2 linked regions of the Xenopus tropicalis genome follow. Each later gene encodes a partner of the first gene's protein in a complex. Links are inferred from orthologs where the notes say so. Each region holds a gene or a part of one and is shown on either strand. Other genes may lie near its edges. The genes, in order: bbs7 and arl6.

Region 1 (3,068 bases):
CACAGTCAGATACAATATTAGGACAGGTAGAGGATTTTTTTTAATAAAGAAGAGCACAGGCTGGCAGAACTTATCATCTATTAAAGTTTGATGTTATCAAACATCTCCACCTTTTATTTTGGCTCATTGTTCTTTAAATATATTTACTATTTTGGAAGGGAACATATATTTAAAATTAAATAAATAAAGCTTCATGAAGGAACAGACCAAAAGTGGATGAGAGTATGAGTTATGCTAGACTGACAGTAATGATATGTGCATGTATTTCAGGCCCATGAACACGGTGAGCCTGACTGGCCAGTTCAGCTTTTCAGACATGCATTCCTGGGTTGTATTTTGTTTACCTGAAGTCCCTGAGAAAACTCCAGTGGGAGAGAACGTCACCTTTTACTTCAAGAATACCTTTCTGGAAACGCAGCTCGAATGTACATACAGGTAAATTGTAAAACTGGGTTCTTCAGAATCATTTCCGCCAATTAAAAGCACGATTGGAAAAAATTTGGAGTAACCACAATAATTTCTAATGTGCAAAAATTCTTTTTTTGGTCATACGAAAATATCGTGGTTGCGATCCGAAAGTCACAAAATGTTCATATCCGAACGATCGTTAAAGGTGCGAGATCCTTTCTGGCTTTAAAACTTAAATGCATGATTTTGGAAGCCTCCCATAGGACTCAATGACACTCTACAGCTCCAACCTGGCCAAAAAAAAGTCACAATACCAAAGCTTAAATGAATTCCGAAATTGTCGTAGTCTTTGCAAAAAATACAAAGTTTTTGTGGAATTTAACGAAAACCACGAAAAAGTCTTACTATTTTAACGATATTGTTGTAAATACGAAAAGGTCTAACAATTAGAAAAAATACAATTTTTTCTTATTCGTGGTCAATATAACCAGGACTGTTATATATAATGTTCCAGAATGTGCAATCCATTTACAGGTATGAGACCTGTTATCCGGAATGTTTGGGACCTGGGGTTTTCCAGATATTTCCATAATTTGGATTTCTGTACCTTACTACAAAAATCATTTAAACATTAAATAAACCCAATAGGTTTGTTTTGCCTCCAATATGAATTAGTGCAGCTTAATTACGATCATGTACAATGTACTGTTTTATTATTACAAAAAAAAAAAAGGAAATCATTTTTAAAAATCTGGATCATTTGATTAAAATGGAGTCTATGGGAGATGGCCTTCCTGTAATTTGGAGCTTTCTGGATAACTGTGTCTGGATAACTGAACCCATACCTGTATCAAAACTTGTTAAAACAAAAGTACTTCAGTCAGTGGGTCTTGTGCAGCATCAAAATATTATGTTCATTAAAAAAATATATATATGTTGTCACTGAAATGTCTTCTGTGGACTTCCACAGGAAATGAAACCTATATATAATATATTATACATATATATAGCATTGTCATTCATGCTCACCTCTTTTTTTTTATCACAGAAAGGGAGAAGGATTATTTAAATCTGACAATATATCAACAATTTCTATCCTGAAAGATGTGCTGTCAAAAGAAGCCACTAAAAGAAAGATTAATCTCAACATATCATATGGTATTTTGTCTAATTTACTTTCCCTTACCTAGCCTTATACAAACATACATTCCACTGTTCAGTGCTCTTGTTCTTGAAATGTATTACTTTTGTGAGTATTTATTTCTTAATATACTTTTTGTAATCTTTTATAGTGCAGTATATCTCCACCTTTGTATTGCAGACTAACACAAGCTGTTTGTTACCGAGTCTGGAGATATTTCAAGTAGTTCAGTTATGTGTGCCATCTAGTTAGGAAATGTTGATGCCTTATTATAAATATATTAGAAAATAGAAATTATATTCATTGTAAAAAGAAAATATTTCAAATCCATATTCATTTTATCTGAAAGAGTATTTAGTTTCATCAAAAATATAAAATACTAAAATATTTTAATGAATGTATACTGGAAAATTATTATATTGAAAATAACAGTTAAATGTTATTTTTGAATTTATATCCCTTTAATACTACTGACTTGTTTCTCAAATTAGTGAAATAGGTTGCTAAGTTTTTCCCCAGGCTGGTGCTCCTGGAGGGAACTGCACCAACCTGTAGAAAAAACTGTCTGAGCACCGCACCGGCATCTCCTTACCTTACTTTCTTATTTGAGTGCAGTGGCCGGTAAATGGTAAGTAAATTGGCGGCATGGCGCTCAGACAGTTTTTTCCACAGGCTTTTAAGATTCTCTTCTAACAGGAGCACCAACCTGGGAAAATAATATAGCAACCTATTTCACTTAGGGGGCCTAACATTTTGGAACCCCTCCATAAAATAGACTTTACATGTCCTGTAATACAGATTCCCTTTGTAAATGAGCTATTCCTTATTACAAAGGCTGCAGCTTAGGTATTAGCGGGGTTTTTTTATACAAAGCTCATTATCTCCCTTTGAAATATTACCCTGTTTTATTTATTGTGCTATTTTCAAGCCAAGGTGTTTACTGCCCCTTTGAGGGAAGATAAATTGTTAAAATGTCAGTAATGGCACTTCTGGTATAAAACATGGCTTTTACTGCTAAGAAACAAACCTAGAACTTTATAATGTAAAAGAAAACAAATTTATGTTATGGCCTTTTAACATTATTTTTTAAGAGCTGTTCACTTTTCCTGAGCTCAAGGGTAATGTTAATGAATGTTAATGCAGTTTGGATAGTAATTACTAGAATGAATGTTACGGTTCCTCCATGTGTAGCAAGCTTTTGCAGTCATCATATAAAACTAACTTTTGCCTCACTTCTTCTTTTGGTTTGTGCAGATATAAATGAAGAATCTGTTGGGCACACTTTGAAACTGATTCATCCAAAACTGGAGTACCAATTGCTCTTAGCCAAAAAAGTACAATTAATTGATGCTCTGAAGGTGGGTAATATGTGTTAGGAGCATTTCTTCTTGTGTGAGCTTTTAGCTAATTAGCTATCAATGGGTCTGTCTATGTTTCAAAATCATGAATGTCAGCATGCTAGCCAGTGTTGGATTACACACCCCAACTTTAAGATCATAAAAGCAACTTTTCTCCTTTG
Region 2 (4,462 bases), on another chromosome or scaffold:
AGGGAAAGTAAACAACGGACTGACCAATTAACCATTTTATGTATTGATATGATTCATTTCCAAAGTTTAGGGAGTGCCCTGAACAATTCTGATGTGTGGCCACACAAAGAACTGTTACACCACTAGTGAAACATTATAAGGGTTATATATTTACTATGACCCCTGATGCAACTGCTGGAGCACTAAAAGCAGGGTAGGCAGATTTATTTTTCCAAACTAGCCAAAGTCAGTTCTAAAACCAGCCCAAAACTAGCCAAAAGCCACTTTGAAAGTAGCCCACAAATAGTCCAATATGCGCAATGAAAAAAAATTCTAAGAAAATAAAAGTATATATGGGGAAACCCTGCCTTTTTAAAGCTTATAAGCACTACCCATGCCATGTGCTCCCTTTCCAGGTACTGGGATGGCTGATAATTCCCTGCCCTCTGTGCCCAGACCAGCTGGGAAGTCACTACAGAAATAGATTCTGAATGTTGCATTAACCCCAGACATGATATACATGGGTGCATTGCACTACAACTCTCAGCCGCCCCAAGATATCCTGAGAGTTATAGCTTAAAGTGATACTGACACTTAAAAACTACTCTTCAAAATATTAATGTACATTAAAGGTTACATATAGATCATGTTGACCGTTTTTCACTGATAGGGCTGCTTCTGTAAGTAATTGTTACTTGAAGTTCCTAAACCTGACTGTTTTGCCAACCAGACTGTGTCCCTTTTCAGCTTACCAGTTCCAGCTTCTAATGCTATCGGACTCCTGCTGCACAAATATGGCAGCCCCCTCATAGAGGAACATTGAAGATCATGTAGGTAATGTAGAAGCACCAGACAAGTGCTTTAAAGACAACATTATAAATAGCATGCAAAGACAATGTTGTGATAAATATAAACATAAAGTTTCATTTCTGATGTCAGTATCTCTTTAAGGACCAACTGCAGAGCTGCTCCCACATCACAGTAGAAAGTACAATCACATAACCTATAGAGCAGGGAGCTGGTTGTAGAATAGACGGATTGAGCCTGAAAGGAAAAAAAAAAAAAGAAATAGAAAAGGGAGCCTCTGTCTATACTATCCAATTGCATGCTGGGTATGGTAGTTCTATATTAATCCTAGCTGTAGGCCAATTGTTCGATACAAACTATATTACCCAGCATGCAGTGGAACAGGCACACTAGGGGGCAAAAATTTCGGCTAGTTTCCAAATTACAAACTATTATTATTATTATTATTACAAACCCGCCAAGGCTCCAAAAAATAGACCAAAACTGTACCTTGGCTGGTTTGTATATTGGAAACCCACCAGGGCTTTAAATTAGTAGCCCCATTTGGTGGGAACACCGCCAATCTGGCAACCCTGACTAAAAGGTGCAAAATCAGTCCTCATTTAGCACTTGAGTTCAGAGTCTGGCTGCTCTGCACTTAGCACTAAATTTCAATCCAGAGCGAAGTGCAGAGGGCAATGCAGGTGGATGCATGGCAGCTATGGCCATACAGGGCTCCTTTGCTGCCTGTACCTACATGTGTGAATGAGGTGTAAGTTAGGGAATGGGTAAGTGCCCCTGCTCCTCAACAATACAACACTGCCAAACACGGGTCTCTGGAGCGCAGGAACTTCAATTAAAAAAAAGTGCAGGGCAGGGTGCGAAAAACATAGCAGTTTGAAACCCTTTTAATGCACTTTGTAAATAACCCCTTATATCACACCTTATTGCTGTACTGTATGAAGCAGGGAAACAATCACAGCCCCGGAGGGAATAAAGTCTTTACTGGGGAAACAAATAAACCAGCACTAAGGATACAGGCATCTGTCCTCACTGGTCTAAAGGGATCTACCAATAGCAAAGCAACACATTTGGTGTTAATAGTTTTTAAATGGGACTTCCTGGGAGTCTGTGACTGTAATTATAGGGTCGCTCACCGTTACCAAATGTCCCATTCGCAGCATTTTTTGATCAGTTTTATTAACATTGGAGATAAATACCAACAGTAATGCCGCCCATAGCAACCAATTTTGTCCTCTCTCTTGTAGGTGGCCATGATCTGGGAATCAGCACTTTTATTGTACTGTCACCCACTGTGACCTACAGCACTTATATTTGCCTATTTGTGTCTGTAAGTTACCCTCCCATATAGATTGTAAGCTCTACGGGGCAGGGACCTCCATCCTCTTGTGTCTTTGACTCTTAACTTATTGCAACTGTATTTATCTGTATTTATTGTTATAATTTGTATTTATCTATTATCTTATTAACCCCCTGTTTGTATTAATGTATCCTACTGTACAGCGCTGCGTACATAAGTAGCGCTTTATAAATAAAGATATACATACATGTCTAATTGGTTGCTATGGAAAACATCACCAGTAATATTTATTTCCTATGTAAAACACATCCTATTTATTTTTAAACTACTGCCCTGTGGAGATATACCTTTATTGTAATTGTTATTTATCTTCCTATTCAGGCCCTCTCCGTGTCTCATTGGAACCCCTGCCTAGTTGCTAGGGTAACATGGACGCTTAGCAACCACATAGCTTCTGAAAAAAAATAACACAACAAAATGAAGACCACTAGTTTGTCTCAGAAGAAGACTCCCTGCAGCATATTACAATCTCATTTAAAGGTTACCCACTATTTAAGTACGCTACACCAAATGTTATATATTCACTGACCCTTCTAAATGATACTGGAATCATACAAAATTAAGCAATTAATTAAGCAATTACATACGGCCCATAACAAGCCTATGGCATACCGCCCAATTGTCCCGATTTTCTCGCAGTCCAGACTCGCTGTGTAAAAGTCCCTCAGCCCCGGTAAGGTCCAGCTCCCTAACTCCGGCCGGCGAGTTAATCCAAATCCCGCAGGTCTCATCTCGCGAGATTGTGACGTCACGCACCGTGTATATAAGCGCAGTGACGCCGCCCAGAGCCGCACTTTGCTAGTGGCGAACTTTGTGGTTATTTGCTAATATCATGCGATAGTGTATTTCGGGCGGGTGTTTGCCAACAATTTTTGTTTCTTTTGCTTGCAGCTCCTAGTTTTGTCTGGAAAAATATATTTACGTTATACCTGAAACCATAAGAGTTTAGTAAAGAGCAATTGTGGGCTCAGATGGGTGTATTTTGCGCCAAGAGGGGCTAGAGAGTAGTCCTTTATTCCTAGTTATTCTGGTCCTAATGCTGAAGTGTGCAAGTTCCAAGTAAGTACCACTAAAAAAATGTTTTTGTCGCCAAAATGGCACTGATTGGGTATCAGTTCAAAAATCAGCCCACAACTAGCCACTTTGAAAATAGCGCAATGTGCCCCCTTTCCAGTTACTGGGATGACTGATGTTTCCCTGCCCTGTGTGCCCAGTCCATGCTGGTTATTTGTAGTTTTGCTGCTTCAGGTTCAACAAAGAGGAATAGAAAAGGGACCCTCTGTCTATACTGTCCAATGGCATTCTGGGTAGTGTACTGTAGGGACCCATAGGGCCAAGCTCCCTATGGCTTTACCCCTACCTCTGTCCCAAGCAGAGCTCCATCTGAGCCTGGAGGCAGCAAGGCCCCAGTAACACTACTGGAACAACTAAAGTCGGGGACAGGGCCCCGTGAATGAGGATAAGAAAGCACAGCAGCACATTTAAAGGAGAAGGAAAGGCTAGTAAAGAGTTAATCTCAAGCTGCAGGCATACCTTCAGTTCTCTCAATAGTGCCCTTAAGTCTCCCCATACTTCACCCGTTCAGAAGATCAGAAGCCAAACAGAGAAAAAACCTTAAACGACCAAAATTTTTAAACCTGGCCGATCGATTTTGGGGACGATAATGTCGGCTCGTTTAGTGGGCCGACGATCGTTCGTACACCACCAACTATACGATAACTTAACGATAGCATCGGATCGTTCGGGAATCGGTCGTTTGTAAGTAAAAAATCGGTCCGTGTATGGCCACCTTAAGATGGCGGCGCCGTTCACTGAAACAAGCATGTAAGTTCAAGTATGTGTATCTTTGTAAATCTTTCATTAGGCAAGCCAGGAATATAGCGATTTTACGCAGCAATAGTATTACTTTTTAATAGTGTGCTTATTAGATTTTGCCTTTCCTTCTCCTTTAATAGCACTCTCTAGGAGAAGTGAGCATAGTCAGCTTTATCTAGAAAGGGCAGCCATTAGCCCCACCATAGGAGACTCTAAGGGTTTAGCCTACCCCAGGCTCTGTATGCCTTGCTATAGGGACCACAGTTAAGACAAAGGCTCAGGCAGTACTTACCCCTGAACCACCGTTGGCTGTAGGGCTCCTAGCTACTACCTCTGCATATCTCCATTGTGGGCTATACTGTTCCTAAAGGTCACAACTGCTGTTTACCACTGTGACTTTCTATATCTACTGTTTGTGAGTATATGACAACCCTGTATTATAGTTCATCATAAGAATCCTCTGGCGTCCATTTATATCTATTGCACCACACAACCTCAGCT

Evidence for each region.
Region 2: the proteins of bbs7 (region 1) and arl6 are in contact, whole or in part, in a cryo-EM structure (PDB 6VBV), measured with the Bos taurus proteins. The link is inferred for Xenopus tropicalis from reciprocal best matches to the Homo sapiens genes BBS7 and ARL6. Residues at the interface, in NP_001178275.2 of Bos taurus: Leu3, Ile249, Val250, Gly251, Asp300, Gly301, Tyr302, Asp303, Thr319, Glu320, Pro321, His323, Lys324, Glu325, Ser326, Gly327, Pro328; in NP_001069250.1 of Bos taurus: Met132, Asp133, Arg135, Thr139, Ser140, Val141, Ser144, Trp157, His158, Ile159, Cys160, Ala161, Asp163, Lys166.

What each region holds. Positions count from the first base shown.
Region 1 is NC_030677.2:66,817,414-66,820,481, forward strand, and holds part of bbs7 (Bardet-Biedl syndrome 7 protein), read left to right. Parts: intron 1-270; coding exon 271-435; intron 436-1,456; coding exon 1,457-1,566; intron 1,567-2,803; coding exon 2,804-2,907; intron 2,908-3,068.
Region 2 is NC_030678.2:20,788,829-20,793,290, forward strand, and holds the start of arl6 (ADP-ribosylation factor-like protein 6), read right to left. Parts: upstream 2,888-4,462; 5' UTR 2,734-2,887; intron 1-2,733. UniProt on the Homo sapiens protein: Involved in membrane protein trafficking at the base of the ciliary organelle. Mediates recruitment onto plasma membrane of the BBSome complex which would constitute a coat complex required for sorting of specific membrane proteins to the primary cilia.